Linked DNA regions of Cricetulus griseus. The protein of the gene in region 2 interacts with the protein of the main gene of each other region in a biochemical or structural test. Links are inferred from orthologs where the notes say so. Each region holds a gene or a part of one and is shown on either strand. Other genes may lie near its edges.

Region 1 (7,810 bases), on a different chromosome or scaffold from region 2:
GATGTCTGGGTGAGAAGCACGTGGGCAGGAACTTGGGTGGAGAAGGGTGTGGCTCTGTAGTCACTATGGAGCAGAGGGAAGGGGACCTTTGGTTTCTGTTGCATGGGACCCCAGAACCACAGTATGTCTCCATAGTTCTCCACTTCCTTCCTGGGAACCATCAGTGATACTGTTCTCAGGAAGTGGTGTCATCTCTGTGGCTGAACTGGGTCAACTGCTGGAGGCAATAGCTAAGCAGGGGCTGAAGAGGCCTCCTGCAAACACAGTTCCTTTGGGTGAGGTTGGCATATTTTTAGCTTAAATGGTCTCCTTTTACCATAGCAATAAATGGGATACCATTTTTCCTCTTCCAGAAACTAACCAAATTATGCTCAGTCCCTAGGCTGTGTGCTTTATGCCATGATGTTTGGGGAAGGCCCTTATGATATGGTGTTCCAGAAGGGTGACAGTGTGGCTCTTGCTGTGCAGAATGAACTCAGCATCCCACAAAGCCCCAGGTGAGCAGCAGGAGGGACACTAAGCACTGTAGACTATTGCCTAGAGCCAGCCAAGTTGGAATTTTAGCAACCTTAGTCTAGGCGTCCTCCTCCAGTCCTCTGCCCTCCATCTCCCACAGGCATTCTTCGGCATTGCGACAGCTTTTGGGCTCTATGATGACTGTGGACCCCCAGCAGCGCCCTCACATTCCTGTCCTCCTCAGTCAGTTGGAGGCAATGCAGCCTCCTGCTCCTGGCCAGCACACCACCCAAATCTGATATGTTGGGAAGATGACCTTGAAGAAGTTTTCATCCTTCACTGGAACTCCTTCCATTCTATCCAGGATGGCTGTTATAGTTAGGGGCAAGGATGGTGGGTCCTTGTGTTTTCTGCTCTCTTATCCCAGTACCTGGGCTAGGAGCCTAGGGTGAGTTGGGGGAGAGTGAAACAAAGTAGGGCTCAAAGCTGGACTGCTGGGCGCACATCATGTTCTGCCTCCAAATCTGGTAGCAGGAGATACATAAACAGGAGAATAAAGTGAAAACGTGTATTTTAGGTCATTGTGTCTGGAGAGAAAAAGAACGAACCGTTTAGTTACCATTTCCAAGGGAATAGCCTGGGAAGAGGGACTGGTGTGATGGCAAAGGCAGATAGAGTTCTTAAGATTTGACTGCTTGGCAGCAGACAGGTCTTTAAGCTTCCCTTGGTCAAAACCAGAGTCTCCAGCTTAAGCTGGTTTTCTGCCTGTACTGAGAAGTGGGACCAGGGTCCCTTTGAAAGCACACTCCACTAGTTCTGTCACTCATTCTGAAGGTGGGTAGCTTAGAACAGCCCAGCCCAGCAGGTTTGCCAACTCCATGACCTCTGGATGGAAGCCTACAGGTCTCCCTCAGCTGAGGACAAAGGGAGTGGAACTGGCTTCCATTTTTTCCAGTCTCCCTGACTATTCTAGCTCATACACAGTTAATAATTGATGAGGCTAGTGGCCTGTGGCAGTATCCAGCAGGCACTTCCTGCCCCATTTGCTGAGTAAACAGGCACCCAGCCTTAGCTGGGCTTTAAACCAGTTCCTCAGGGAAGGGCACTGCGTCCCTGAATCACCAGGGAGGGGAGGCAAGGGCAGGGTTGGCTGTCCTGGAGATTTTGAAGCTTCCTCCCAAGCCATGCCCACCTCTACATGCTGACGTCAACCTGAGTCCTAGGGTGCCTATTAGCGAAGTATAATTTTTCCCTAGGGTCCAGGCAGGCTTCCACCCCAAGCAGAGGCTGAGGCCAAAGGAAAACAAACAGAGGGGAGACGTCCTGACTTTTAATAGCATAGCTCAAGCCCCAGTAAGCAAGATAGACAGCAAGCTCTGCAAAGCTGCTGGAGGTGTGATGGCACAAACAACCAGGAGATTGCCCTTGTTCCCGCCCATCCCCCAAGTTTGTGAGGGTGGCTCTATGCCCAGGAACTTTGGGCTGGCCCAGTCCCCATTCCTAAACCCTCAGTGTACAACGAAGCTTGGGCCAGGCCTTGCTTCTAAAGCTGTTGAGTGAAGCAGCAGCAGCAAGAGCAAAAGCAGTCGATCATCCAACACAGAAGCCACTAGACACTTGGAAAAAAAAAAAAAAACCAAAAAACCCACCAGACATCAATTATTATTAGGAAAAGTGAAGACTTGGATCTTGCAATAGTTTGTAGCTAGACAGACAAGTCCAGGATTTGGTCCTCATTTCTTTCCTATTTTGGGTGTCCTTAGGACTTTACATCATACTTTCTGGGGCTCAATACAGGGCTCACCTTCAGGCATGAAATGGTAAAAGGTCGTGAGCAGCAAATAGCGGGAAGTAGCAGCCACAGCAGAAGCCAAGCAGTCACCAAGGGGGACGAGAAACCGTGCAGGGAGACTTTATTTCGAAAGGATTTTGCAATAAACAATGAAAACCGGCTCCAAGCGGCTGCTTATTCTTCTCCCTCATCCTCATCCTCATAGGAGTCGATGCCTACTTCCTCATAATCCTTTTCCAGGGCAGCCATGTCCTCTCGAGCCTCAGAGAACTCCCCCTCCTCCATGCCCTCACCCACATACCAGTGTACAAAAGCCCTCTTTGCATACATCAAGTCAAACTTGTGGTCCAGGCGGGCCCAGGCCTCAGCAATGGCAGTGGTGTTGCTCAGCATGCACACTGCACGCTGCACCTTGGCCAGGTCACCCCCAGGCACCACAGTGGGTGGCTGGTAGTTGATACCAACCTTGAAGCCTGTGGGGCACCAGTCCACAAACTGGATGCTGCGCTTGGTCTTGATGGCAGCGATAGCGGCGTTCACATCCTTGGGCACCACATCCCCACGGTAGAGCAGGCAGCAGGCCATGTACTTGCCATGCCGAGGGTCACACTTCACCATCTGGTTGGCAGGCTCAAAGCAGGCATTGGTGATCTCTGCCACTGACAGCTGCTCATGGTAGGCCTTCTCTGCAGAAATGACGGGTGCATAGGTGGCCAGGGGGAAGTGGATTCGAGGGTAGGGCACCAGGTTGGTCTGGAACTCTGTCAGGTCCACATTGAGGGCCCCATCAAAGCGCAAGGAAGCTGTGATGGAGGAGACGATTTGGCTGATGAGGCGGTTGAGGTTTGTATAGGTTGGACGCTCAATGTCCAGGTTACGGCGGCAGATGTCATAGATAGCCTCGTTGTCCACCATGAAGGCACAGTCTGAGTGCTCCAAGGTGGTATGGGTGGTCAGGATGGAGTTATAGGGCTCCACCACAGCTGTGGACACTTGTGGAGCTGGGTAGATGGAGAACTCCAGCTTGGACTTCTTGCCATAGTCAACAGAAAGCCGCTCCATCAGCAGGGAGGTGAAGCCAGAGCCGGTGCCCCCTCCAAAACTGTGGAATACTAGGAAGCCCTGAAGTCCTGTGCACTGATCAGACTGAAAGGCAAGGAAGAAAGAGCAATGTAGGTAGGGGAGAAGCCTAAGGAATTTTCTTCTAGTTTTATGAGGCCTAAAGTATCTCAGAAGTTAGGGCAAAGACTGAATGTCCCCCTAAACAGCATTGAATTCTAAAACATACAGCTAGAGACGATCCCAGAAATGGATCTGAAAACTTCCTGAACATTGACTCCATAGCTCCCTCGCTGCCAAGCTATAGTCTCACCAGTTTGCGGATCCGGTCCAGCACTGGGTCGATGATCTCCTTGCCAATGGTGTAGTGGCCACGGGCATAGTTGTTGGCGGCATCTTCTTTCCCAGTGATAAGCTGCTCTGGGTGGAAGAGCTGTCGGTATGGGCCATTTCGGATCTCATCTAAAAGACCATATATATATATATATATATATATATATATATATATAAATATCACATTGCTGAGGCAAAAACCACAAGGCCATGCTCAGCAGAGACCCTCCTCCTCCCCACCCTCAAGAATGGCAGATACATGGAAGAACTAGCTCATTCTTCTACCAGCCTGGGGTCAGCATCCATCTTCATCATCAAATAAAGTCAAGGGGCTTCAAGATCACAAAAACCTAGTCTAGACACTCTGCAAGAGACACTCGACTTTCCTCAAAAGTGCCCCTCCACACCCCTGCTTACCGATTACAGTAGGCTCCAGATCCACAAAGACTGCCCTAGGCACATGTTTTCCAGCTCCAGTTTCACAGAAGAAGGTGGTGAAGGAGTCATCCCCTCCACCAATGGTCTTATCGCTGGGCATCTGCCCATCAGGCTGAATCCCATGTTCCAGACAGTAGAGCTCCCAGCAGGCATTGCCCATCTGGACACCTGCCTGCCCCACATGGACTGAAATGCACTCACGCTGAGGGATACAGAGAAGGTCACAGCGTAAGTGCCACATCTACAACTCCCCACTAGATGAGGTCCTCTCCCACCCTGTCACCTATTAGCTAAGATTACTCAGTTGGTAAAAGTACAGTCAGGTTGGAGCTGAGAGGTCAGAAGCAGCTGGCAGCCTCTCCAGTCTCCTTAGCACAGGGCTTCCCTGATTGAGGTGTCCAGCAGGGCAGACCAACCCCTTAGAAAATTTATCAAGTGAGAGCTGTATAATCCTGTTAACTTCCACAGGACACTCAGAGAGGACAGGGAGGGCATGCACACATGACAGGCGGGGCTGCAGCAACTATAACAGGATGTGTGTGTGTGTGTGTGTGTGTGTGTGTGTGTGTGTGTGTGTTGTGTGTGTGTGTGTGAGAGAGAGAGAGAGAGAGAGACAGACAGACAGACAGACAGACAGACAGACAGACAGACAGGCTTTCCAGCTGCCTCCAGTCCATGCAGCTTCTAAAATATCTTTTACAGTTTATAGCCAGCACTCTACTTGGTTAATCTTTGCCTTGAAGATAAAATTTCTCGTAACCCTCTCCCCTTCTTTCCTGTGGGCAAAGAGGTGTCTCAACCTTCCATCTGGTATCAGCTGACCATTCTGGCCATCAGAATGGGGTAACCCCCACCACCTTTAAATCCCATCTGGCCTTGAGGAATCAATCCCATCTGGCTCCTCTCCCCACCTCCACCCCCACACTCTGTATGGCTTCACCACCTCCATCCTCCGCCTCAGCCCGCACGGAAATAGCAGCAATAATGCGGGTAAGCGCTGACGGCAGGTGCAGGCAATACAGGTATACTGGTGCACTGGCCGTCTGAAGCTCCGGCCAGGCAGTCCATAATTTAACCCTTGCAGCACCCTCCCACAACCAAGTGGCGCGCGTGCGCGCGCGCACGCGGCGGCGGCGGGAGGTGTGTGTGTGTGGGGGGTGTTTTTGCAATTTCTAAGTACCCAGAAAAGGAAGTGGAACCTGCCAGGAGGCCCTTGAGGGAACCCGCCTTGCTTCACGCACCAGGCAAGGGGAGAGCCATCTGTACCTGGGCCCTACGTCTGCTCTCCCATTGGAGTCTTTCCAGTTACTTCCCAGCCGAAAGCCCGGATTGGGTTTCTGCCCCCGCTCCGGGGCTATAAATACAACCCCCTACAGACACCTCTTTCCCCTCCCCCGCCAACCTGGCCTCGGCCGGGGCTGTCGATCAGCGCCAGCTGTCTCTGCCCGTCCTCTTAGCACCAGCTCTCCCGTAGGAGGGGCCCGCTGGCCTCCTGAGGCCAAACCCCATTCCCGCCACCCTTTCTGGCTCAGAAGGGGGTGCTGAGTCACGTATGGGGGTGTAAGTGGGAAGGAGGCACACCGAGGAAGACGGGGTGCGGTACTAAGTAACCCCTTCTACCGACAGGCGCCAAGCACGTGTTCGGTCAGTCCCAGGGACTCAGGGGATAGAGATGGGTGACGGGGACAGCCAAGCAGGTCTTCCGCCGCCCGAGGAGAGGACTGGGTGCAGGACCGCGTGACTCCCCTCAGGAGGGTTGGGACACAAGACTCTTGGTTCGGCCGGAGGGCAATACAGTAGGGCTCCTCTCTGCTAGTGAAGAAACATCATCCCCCGGTCACACTCTGAAGGTGGACAACACACTAGGCCAAAGTCACCAGGAGGGGTGGGGGGAAGTGCAAAACTCTTGCATCTCCCAGAGACTCGGAGAGCCAAGTAAAGGGCCCCCCAGCTTCTCTAGAGGGAGTTCTCCAAAGGAGCGGGACATTTACAGGACCAGAGAGATCCCAGGGGGGGCCTCACTCACCATGATGAGTCTGGGTTGTGCGTCTCACGTTGAGTCGGGGTCACGGGTCTCGGTGAGATCTGCGGAGCTGCAGTGCCGCACCACTCTTATAGGCAGGAGGCGGGACCCGCACGCTCAGCCCGCCCACCGTGGGGCGGGGAGGTCTAAAGACCACACCTCGTCAGGGTAGGTGGCCACGAGGAGTGAAGCCAAGTCTGATCCCCTCCCCCTGCCGTGCCGGATTCCCTCACCTGTCGAGTTTGGGCTAGAAGCAGAGGCCCATTTTCGTTCCTGGTTTCGAGCCAACGCCCCGGATTCTGAAGGTCCAAAGCAGGGACGCAGGGTGCGGTGACAGGGAGTGTCTCAACTGCACCTGTGTCACGCGAACGCCCATGGTGCAGATGTTCCGATTTAGGGAGGATGAGGTTCAAGCAGTCCTTCAGAAGCGGCTGTTCCTGGCGGCCTCCGCTGTCCTCCCAGCGTCGCCTCCCGGGAGCTTCGGGCGGGCTGGGTTGCTGGGGCTGATCGCCCGAGACCCCCTTACAGCAGACCGCCTCCTGCTGGTCCCCGGCCGAGATGGCAGGCTTTCGCCCCCTGTGGGAGGCCGAGGACCGAGAACTACAGAGCCTGAGCCCCAGGATGACGATCTCGTAAACTGTCCCGCAGCGCTGAGCCGCACAGCCAATCCGTGAGGGCCGACGCGAGAATCTGCCACTTCTCACCTGCCACCCGCCGGTCGGAGGCTCCGTCATCAGCGCCGTCACTATTAGTGAGCTCTCGCCACGACCTCCTGCATGCCTGCTGCGGGGGAGCACAGAACCCAGAGCCCCCCAGCAGCATCCAGGAGACCCTGTGCATCCTTGGACTAGTGACTTGGCTTCACTGAGATTCCTCCTTCTAGCGTTTCATTTCCGTTTTGTACGATGACAGGCCTTTCTAAAAGTTCTTTCTGCTTTCTCGGACCGAGAAAATCCATCAGGCAGAGACTAGGTGCTGGTTGTCATGACCTTAAGAAACCCAGGTTAGTCATCACTTGGAAAAGATTTACCGGCCTTCCCCCCCCCCTCTTCTTAAGGACAGGACTGTTTGAACACATAACATAGTACCATGTGACGGCAACTATCTAACTACAAAGTAGCTAGTGGCATCTGACTGAGAAGATACAGAAAAGAGCACAATAAATTTGACAAGCTCTCTCTTCCCAGTTCTTGTCATCTGATTAGGAGAATTAAGGTTCATCTGGAGATGCTGAAGGTGTAGTTGAGTCGGTATCAGGTTTGTCCATCATTTGTGAAGTCCTGGGTTCAATCCACAGCACAGGGGTGGGGAGTAGGGGTGGGGCGCTCATTCATAAAATGGAAACGAACAAGGGCATTTAGGGCATTAGGCTGCTTCCAAACATGAGTCATGCATAGTCTAGTCAGAGGAAAGAGCCTTGATGATCACAGGACACAGTGACCACTTTGCAGCCTTTCTCTTGTTTCCTTGTGTATCCACACAGCAGAAGGGATATAAATGATCTGAGGTATCAGGCAAAACTCTAAACTTGTTTGACTTTCAGCTCTTCGTTTGTAAAACCTGAGGTAACCGTTTCAATTGTGAGCACCAGACAGGTGCAGGACTGTGTACACACCCAGCAGAGCAATGTATATGGAACCACCTGGGTTCCCATAGCTCCTGTTCCCACTTGTCTTAGTATATGTACTACATACCACTCTGTTTGTGAA
Region 2 (7,767 bases):
CCTGCATGTATGGGCTTGGGCTGAACCCAAGAAGCCATGAGCTTTCTATTTCAGCAAGAGGGAGGGGCAGAGGGATGAGAGGGGATACATTTTCTTGGCCTGCATTAGTGAGCCATTAGCTACCCACAGTGATCAAATTATCTGGAATGAACACTCAACTCTACATCACATACATTTAAAGGACAGATTCACTCAAGCCTCTTTCTAGCATTCATTACCTCCATTTAGTGTAAGCAAATATGAACTGTCTGTATCAGGGGACTACAGTGTCACTGGGTCCTTGGCAGTTCTCAATCATACTCTGCATTAAGGGCTCATAATGATAAGTTTGAATGTGGAAGAGTGTCACTTTGATGGCTACAGATGACACATATTAATAAAATAAAGTGTAACAAAAGCATTGACCTTGAAAATGATAATGACATAAATACAATTTATCTATCATTCAGTGAGTTCCACTTGTTACTGTATAAGAAACCACACACCACACACACACACACACACACACACACACACACACTTATTAAATTGTCATACTCAACTTTGTCATGCCTACAACCAGCCCCCAAAATCTTGGTGGCTCCTGCAACAAATTTTAATTTTTGTTCACGTTGTATGTACTTCTTTAGGCCTTTTCACTGCAGGATCTGGGCTTCGGGAGCACTGCCTGGCAATATGTCTTTCTAGTAGTGGAAAGGAAGTCAATGATATAGAAACTCGCCATGCCTTAAGTTTCTGTTTGGATCGGTCTGCATCACATAGCTGGTAATGGACAAGGGTGTGTGATTCCCCACTCAGGAAAAAAACAACTACTGGAGACAATAAGAAAATGCCGGCCCTGCAAGATAAATACTAATTGGACACCTCTCCTCTGGAATAATTTGACTAAGTTCCTTGTAGAGACCAGAAATATCCCTTCTACTTGGGGTGACAGGAGAAGGCTTTGGAGAAATGTGAGCTTGGTTTTGAAGGTTAGGTACAGTGTTGATGGGGAGGAGAAAGAGCAAAAGGAACACCAGAGCAGAGGTGGGAGAGATTTAGTTAAGCAGCCTCAGTCACAGAGTTGGTGATTGATAAAAGTGGTGTAGATGGGTGTTCTGATCTAGGGAAAGAGCTGAATGTGAGGCCAAGGAGTTTCAGCGCCCCTGTCTGGAAACTGGTAGACATCTTTGGGCAAGAGACTGCCATGAGAGCAGGGAAACCACTAAGGTCCTACATGTCCAGAACGAAGTAGGAGTCTTGAAGCAGGATGGTGATCATGGGAAGAACAGCAAGGTCAGACCTGGAAATTCAGAACCTGGGGCTTAAGAAATTAGCCTGGCTTCCATCATCTACCCAAAGCTCCCAAAATAATACAGTAATTAAGCCCATATTTAAAAAAAAAAAATGGTGTCACCAGAAAACCCAGCCCAAAGCTTTGCACATTAGTTGAGATTTATGAGTGTTCTGCCTATAAGTATGTTTATGTGTATGTATGTTTGTACGTGCACCAAGGGTATTCGTGGTGCCCTTAAAAATCTGGAAGGTGTTGGATCCCCCGGATCTGTAGTTACAGACAGTTGTGAGCTGCCATGTGGGTGATGGGAATCCTGGCCCTCTGCAAGTGCAGCAAAATTCACTGTGTAGCCCAGGATGATCTTGACCCTCCTGCCCCAGCCTTCCTGAATGCTGGGATTTGAGATATAAGCCAACACACTGAGTTTATACAACCCTGGAGCTTTTTAAACAACAGCTGGGATAGTGGTGCACATCTTTAATCCCAGCATTCTGGAGGCAGAAGCAGGCTGGTGGATCTCTGTGGAGCCCTGGGCCAGCCAGGGCTCCATAGAGAACCTGCCTTGTAAAAGAAAGTAAAAGTCATGCAAATTAAAGCTTCCAGACGAGATCCCACCCCTCTGGCAAGAGGTGCCGACCCCTCTTCCTTGCATTTGAACAGGCTCCAGCTGTCCAAGAGCTCTGAGCTTCGGGGAGGTGAGAAACCTAAACTACAACCACAGCCCACGCCTGAGCAGCTAGAATGAGGACTAATGGCCAATTTCCACATGGAAGCCTGACATCCATCAGGTGGCCATCTCCAGCAAGCACCTTAAAAACTGAGCTCTCCAGCTGTACAAAGGTGTCTCAACGAACCAGATAAAAATAGCTCTGTGAAAATGCCTTGCAGTGTGGTAAGCATCATTAAAACGAACCTATTTAAAATTTTTCTTCTCTAGGGTCAAGGTTGGATAACTAATGGATTTGAACGCTCCTTGATTTAAAAAAAAAAAATTCATGAAAACTCTAAACTGTATTGTGATCAATGTTAATCTGTTCCAAGAGGGTTTGTCAAGGAAATAATAATTCACTTTGGCCATTAACCAAAAAAAAAAAAAAAAAAAAAAAAAAAAAAAAAAAGGTGCGGCCCCTGGGAAAGTGGTCTCTCTCCGGAGGACCCCATTTTGGGGAGACGCCTGCAGGAGGCCTGGGGGTCCAGCGTGTCCCGCCTGGCGAGCCAACGAGGGGGAACTGAAAAGCGGACAAGGACACACATACCGCTTCGCCTCGGCCCGCGGGGACAGAGGGAGGAGACCCCGAACTAGACAAAGGCTGCAGCCCCGGGAGGCCGGGGTGCGCGTGCGCCACGGAGCACGCGCGTGCGCGCGGCGGTCAGTGCGGCGGCCCGAGGCGTGGCGGGACCCGGGAAAGGAAGCGAGGCGAGGAGCGAGCCGGGCGGTGCGGGGAGGGGAGGGCTGCGGATGCTCGCGCGCGCCCCCTGGTGGACGGAGGAGGAGGCGCCCCCTCGCAGGCCTCACTGCCCGCCCCTCCCCTCGAGAGGTTCGCGCTCCCGTGGCTCGCGCCTGCGCCGCCCGCCGCCCTCGGGAACGCGCTCTCTCGGCGGCGCGCGCTCCCAGTCTCCACCACCCACCAGCTCCGGCTCCAGCAGCAGCGCCGCCGCCACCGCCCACCTTCTGCCGCCGCCGCCACAGCCACAGCCACCTTCTCCTCTGCTGTCCTCTTCTGTCCTCGCCTTCTGTCGATCATCAGGTAAGTGCCCCGCTCTGAAATCCCGTCCCCATCTGGCCCTGGGCGCCATCCTCCTGTCGCCCCTTGCCCCAGAGATGGATTTAGGGCGCTGGACATCAGTCAGGCGCAACGACGGGGGGCCTCTCTGCGCCCTCGGCGCTGGGGAGCTGGGAAGGAAACGCGTGCAAGAGATGCACGCACGCGGGTGAATGCGTGTGTCTGTGTGCTGGGGTCCGCACCATCCGTTCCACGCAAACGGGGGGGGGGCGTCTGTGCCATCAGGGTGGGGCGCGGATGGCGGTGACCCAGGGGAGGGGGCTGCTCTGTGCTCTGGATCTCAGCCTTTTGCCGCAATGGGCGTGTGCGTGTGTGTGTGTGTGTGTGTGTGTGTGTGTGTGTGTGTGTGTGTGCGTGCGTGCGTACGTGCGTGTGTGTGTGCGTGTGTGTGTGTGTGTGTGTGTGTGTGTGCGTGTGTATGGGGGTCCAACGATGATCTCCGAAACTGAACCTGAAATCAGATTTCTCTGCTCCCGATTGCCATCAGTCCCAAGGAAGGTGTGGGTGGATTGGGTCCTAGAAAAGATGACTGCCTGCATGCCTCTCCCTGACAGTGATTCTGACGGGGCCTTCACTGGCCCTGATTTTAGGCGGTGTCCCGCCCCCTCCCCTTTTCCTCCTTCAGAAGCCGGCAGGGGACATTTGGGGGCTGGGAGAAATCGGGAGAATGGGGAGGGGTCCAGGCGCTGTCACTTTAGCCGCCCTTCCCCCTGCGCGCGCTTGGTACGGTGACAGGGGCAGCGCCGTGCCCGAAAGAAGGTAGTGCGCGGATTAGAGGCAGGGGTCACCTGGCCTCGCGGTGTCAGCGAGCTTGCCAGCCGCGGTTCCCCGCTCGAGGGCTCCTCGCACAGTCACAGCCAAGCACAGACCTGCGCGAGGGCTGCAGGTGCATTTCAGGGCGGATTCCTTTCTCTGCGTTCTGCGCCGGGCTCCCGGCATGTGCGCTCCCTGCCGGAGGCACGGGCTGGCGCGCAGGGCTCGCCCCTCACTGCGGCAGTGGGTGTGGACCTGGGTGGGCGAGGAGGGGGAAGAGTAGGATGTGTCTCCTCTCGTTGCTACCCCTCCCCCGGTTTTTTCCTCCTCTGAACGCGAGGTGCCATCTTTTCGCGGCAAGTCACGTCTCTGTCGTAGCATGCCAAGTGCTGTGGTCGGGCTTTGGAGGACCCGGCTGGGACTCGCGTTAAGGAGCAAAGGGTGATGAACGTGGACATCTTGGCATTCAGTTTCTGCGTCGTGCGTACCCGGTCGTTCACCTGGGGTCTTCTAAGAGAGCTCGCTGCTTTGTTCGTCGAGGTTGTGTGATTTATAATCTGCGCTCCTAGCCCGTTTTTTTTTTTCCTTTCATTCGACGACAATATTTACCTACGCGCTACGCTCAATTCCATCCTTTTTTTCACTACCCGTTTTAGACCCTTTGTTGGATCTACAGACTTGCTGGGGTCTAGTCACAGCCCCCATGGCATGCATGGAATGGACGTGACCCTGAGCAGCCTTCTCCCCCAGTTCCGCCCAGAGCCAGGGATCCTTAGCTGAACCACACGGGTGGGATTCTAGGTAGACTCTCGTGTGCAGGTGTCCTCAGAGGAACCACATCCCTCCACGCCCAGCGCATCCTGGGGACAACACCCCAACATGTTTCACTGCTAGGGGCGCCAGTTTACCCTTAGGAAGGAGAGATTCGGCAAGCCCGGCTTCCCCACCACCTCCTTTGAGCCCTCTTGCCTCTCCCGGTGGGAGAGTGTAAGAAGAGGGCATGAGATCCCCTGGGATGCTGCGGCCACACCCATCCCTCCCAACCCACCGGGAGAGGGCGGGTTAGTGGTTGCCATGGGAACCATACCCGCCAGAGGAGGAACCTCTGGGCGTTACCCCATCCTTTACTCAGCGGAGAGTCAGAATCCTGGGGTAGTCTGACCGTGCCAGCTTGTCTTATTGGAAGACGTGGGGAAGGAGCTCCTCATCCCTAACACGGGCATCATTCTCTTTGGCACTGGCAACCGTAGCTATCCAGATCGGTGCTTCTGGTGTATTTTTATTATAGGCATACTGAGTGGTATTATTTTGTTAATATTGTTTAAATGGGGAGCTCTCACTTAAAAGCCCACCCTTACAACCTCCCTGGAAACCGTAGAGGGATGGAAAGCGAACAGGTCCCAGCCTCCCCCATCCTGCAGTAAGCAGTTTTCCTAGTTAATTCTACCATTGAATACTGGTGCAGGCGTGCAGTTTTGAGACCGACCGAGCACCTTAAAGGCCGAATCGCCCACGGGGGCCGCCCAGCTTGATCTAGGGGTGGAACGCCCTCTCCCGGTCAGACTGCGGCCTGAGGCTGTGGCGTCATGGCTGGGCCCGCCCGACAGAGATTTCCAGCAGCTGAAGGATGGGTTCAAATATGACCGATCCCTGCTAGGATTCTCGGGGTGCACGCGGAAAAGGGAAGTCTGAAAGGGAGGGTGTCTATTGCAACCAGTTGGGCAAAGGTGTCACAGCCCTGTAAGGGGGCGGGGGAGAACATTTCACCCAGTGAAGAAACAAAGCACAGACCACGCGTCTTCGAACTCGCTCCATTTTGCACTGTGTTGGCAGTCGGGTGAGGTATTGAATTGTTAATAAAAGATCATCAAGGGTTACTGCATGGCCTTCTGCGGAGATAGAGAGGCTCCGTTCCTGGCTCGGCCCTTACTTTAACAAACCAGCTTCACTTCAGAGCTAGAGTTTGTGCTGAAGCCGGGACTGTGGAGCACTGAGCCAACCTGGGCTCATCCGAAAGGGTTCAAGTACCGAACGAGAAAATTTCAACCACCAGCTTCAGCAGGTGGGTGAGCGCTTTTATGTCCCAGAGGCCCTATTCACCCTCTGGCGCTCAGGAACTTGTAATTCCAAGTCTTTTTTCCGGCTGGTTAGCATTGGATGGATGGATGATGGGGAACAGACTAACCATTCCCTCCAGAACTTCTTTGGCTCTGCCGGGCTCTTGAAGAATACCCAAATTTTGCAAGATCCCTGCCCTGCCCCTTCAACTGTCGGTCTCACAGCAGTAAAGGAAGTATGGACGTTGGTAGGTTAATTCTGCGGATACAATTCTGAGATGTCATCTTGTGCTTCATGCTGCTGCTTGTGTCCACCGAGTAAGAACTGCTTCTCTACTTGCCATTTGCAAAGCTTCTCTAAATAAATGGTTATCTAGCTAAGCGTGCCCATCCCTCCCCCCAGCTGCCAGGCTGGCTACAATGCCTGCTGATTTTTCTGCACTGTTTGCCTCGCTGGCAGATGTGTATAGAGTACAGCACTAACCTGGCTTGGCTTCGGGGCTCATCTTTGAATGATCTGAGAGCTTAGCTTGGCTAGGATTTTGTTTTGTTTTGTTGTTGTTATTTGTACCAGTGACAGTCCATGGTGTGTCTCTCTGGCCCTGCACAGCCCCTGTCTACACACTTGCATGGGTGGTGGAAGGGTGTGGTTTTTAAGTGGCTTCTAGTGTCAGGCTCTGTTCCCTAGAGAGGAACAAAGGAAGCAGATAGTGCCCAGGAGTTGCAAGGAGAAAACTTAGTAATGGTTTAATTGAGGTAAAGTCAGGCTTGCTCCCATTGGGAAAATAAGCCCTTGTGCTGAGCAAGCTCTTTGACCCACTCGTCCTTGGAGGGCTAGACAGGGCTCTGATGCCCTTTATGTAGACTGACTTTTCCTTCTCCCTTTGTAACATCAACACATCCAGTTCATTTGTTTAAAATTTTCAGGAATGTTGTTTTATTCCGTCTCCCCTCTGCATGTTGTACATGGCTTTGGTGACTCCCTGGCTTTGTGTGTGAATATGCATTCATTTCCCAGTTGAATATATGAACCTTTCCAACTGTGCCCTCTCTTCCTATTTATTTAGTTAAGATCTTCCTTGATTCCCCTCTTGAAAAGGAATCACTTCAAAGGAGATTGTAAAAGAACTACTCTTACTGACCTAACACAGAACTACACATGTAGTAGGTACCTGGCCCATCATCTTTTAGCAGATAAGTGGATAAAATGGAGGATAGATGGAGGTCGAGAGGGCATCAAAGAGAAAGTGGAGTGGGCAGCAGCATATCCAAGGTCACAGCATCGGGAAGCTTGGGAACAAATCCAATCTATTTTGTCTGTGTGTCCCATTGGTGGCCAGACAGCTACCTGTGCTCTGCTTCAGGTCCCATAGCTTCCGCCAGAGGCTCACCTGCCCCTTGTTGGCGAAAAGGGGAAGAAGAGTGGAGAGGGGGATATCCCACTGCACCAGCCCACCTGTGGGGTGGCCATGGTCCTGTTGCAGGTGACTGGGATGGAGGTGGGGAACCTCTCTCTCTCTGCTCCCTCTGTCCTCACCCTGTTTTCATCAGCACTTCAGAGATCGTCATTTCTCTTCACCCTCAGAAACACCCATCTGACTATTCCACACACAGGAGTTAGGGGTACCCGGCCAGGTCAGGCGAGAAGTCCCTAGCTGATCAATGAATCTTTTCCTGGAAAATCGTGGTCCTCAGATGGTGACTGAGATGTTTGGAAAGTAGTTGGGGGGGTGCTGTTACTGGCATCTTGTGGGTAGAAGCCAGAAGTGCTGCTAAATATTACAGGACAGACCCCAGATGTCACTGGCACTGGCCTGGGGAAGCCCTCTTGTACCTCAGTTGTGTCTATTGCACGTCTTCTAGGAGTGCTGCTGCTGGAGATGACCTCAGATGGGCC

The links.
Region 1: the proteins of microtubule-associated protein tau (region 2) and Tuba4a are reported together in a solved structure, tested with the Homo sapiens proteins (2 studies listed by BioGRID, with this or other methods). The link is inferred for Cricetulus griseus from reciprocal best matches to the Homo sapiens genes MAPT and TUBA4A.

Annotation. Positions count from the first base shown.
Region 1 is NC_048595.1:428,368,781-428,376,590, forward strand, and holds Tuba4a (tubulin alpha-4A chain), read right to left. Parts: upstream 5,168-7,810; 5' UTR 5,028-5,167; coding exon 5,022-5,027; intron 4,281-5,021; coding exon 4,058-4,280; intron 3,770-4,057; coding exon 3,621-3,769; intron 3,395-3,620; coding exon 2,423-3,394; 3' UTR 2,353-2,422; downstream 1-2,352. Other genes in the region: Stk16 (serine/threonine-protein kinase 16), read left to right, coding at 1-9, 376-497, 617-755. UniProt on the Homo sapiens protein: Tubulin is the major constituent of microtubules, a cylinder consisting of laterally associated linear protofilaments composed of alpha- and beta-tubulin heterodimers.
Region 2 is NC_048600.1:117,266,359-117,274,125, forward strand, and holds the start of microtubule-associated protein tau, read left to right. Parts: upstream 1-2,894; 5' UTR 2,895-3,024; intron 3,025-7,767. UniProt on the Homo sapiens protein: Promotes microtubule assembly and stability, and might be involved in the establishment and maintenance of neuronal polarity.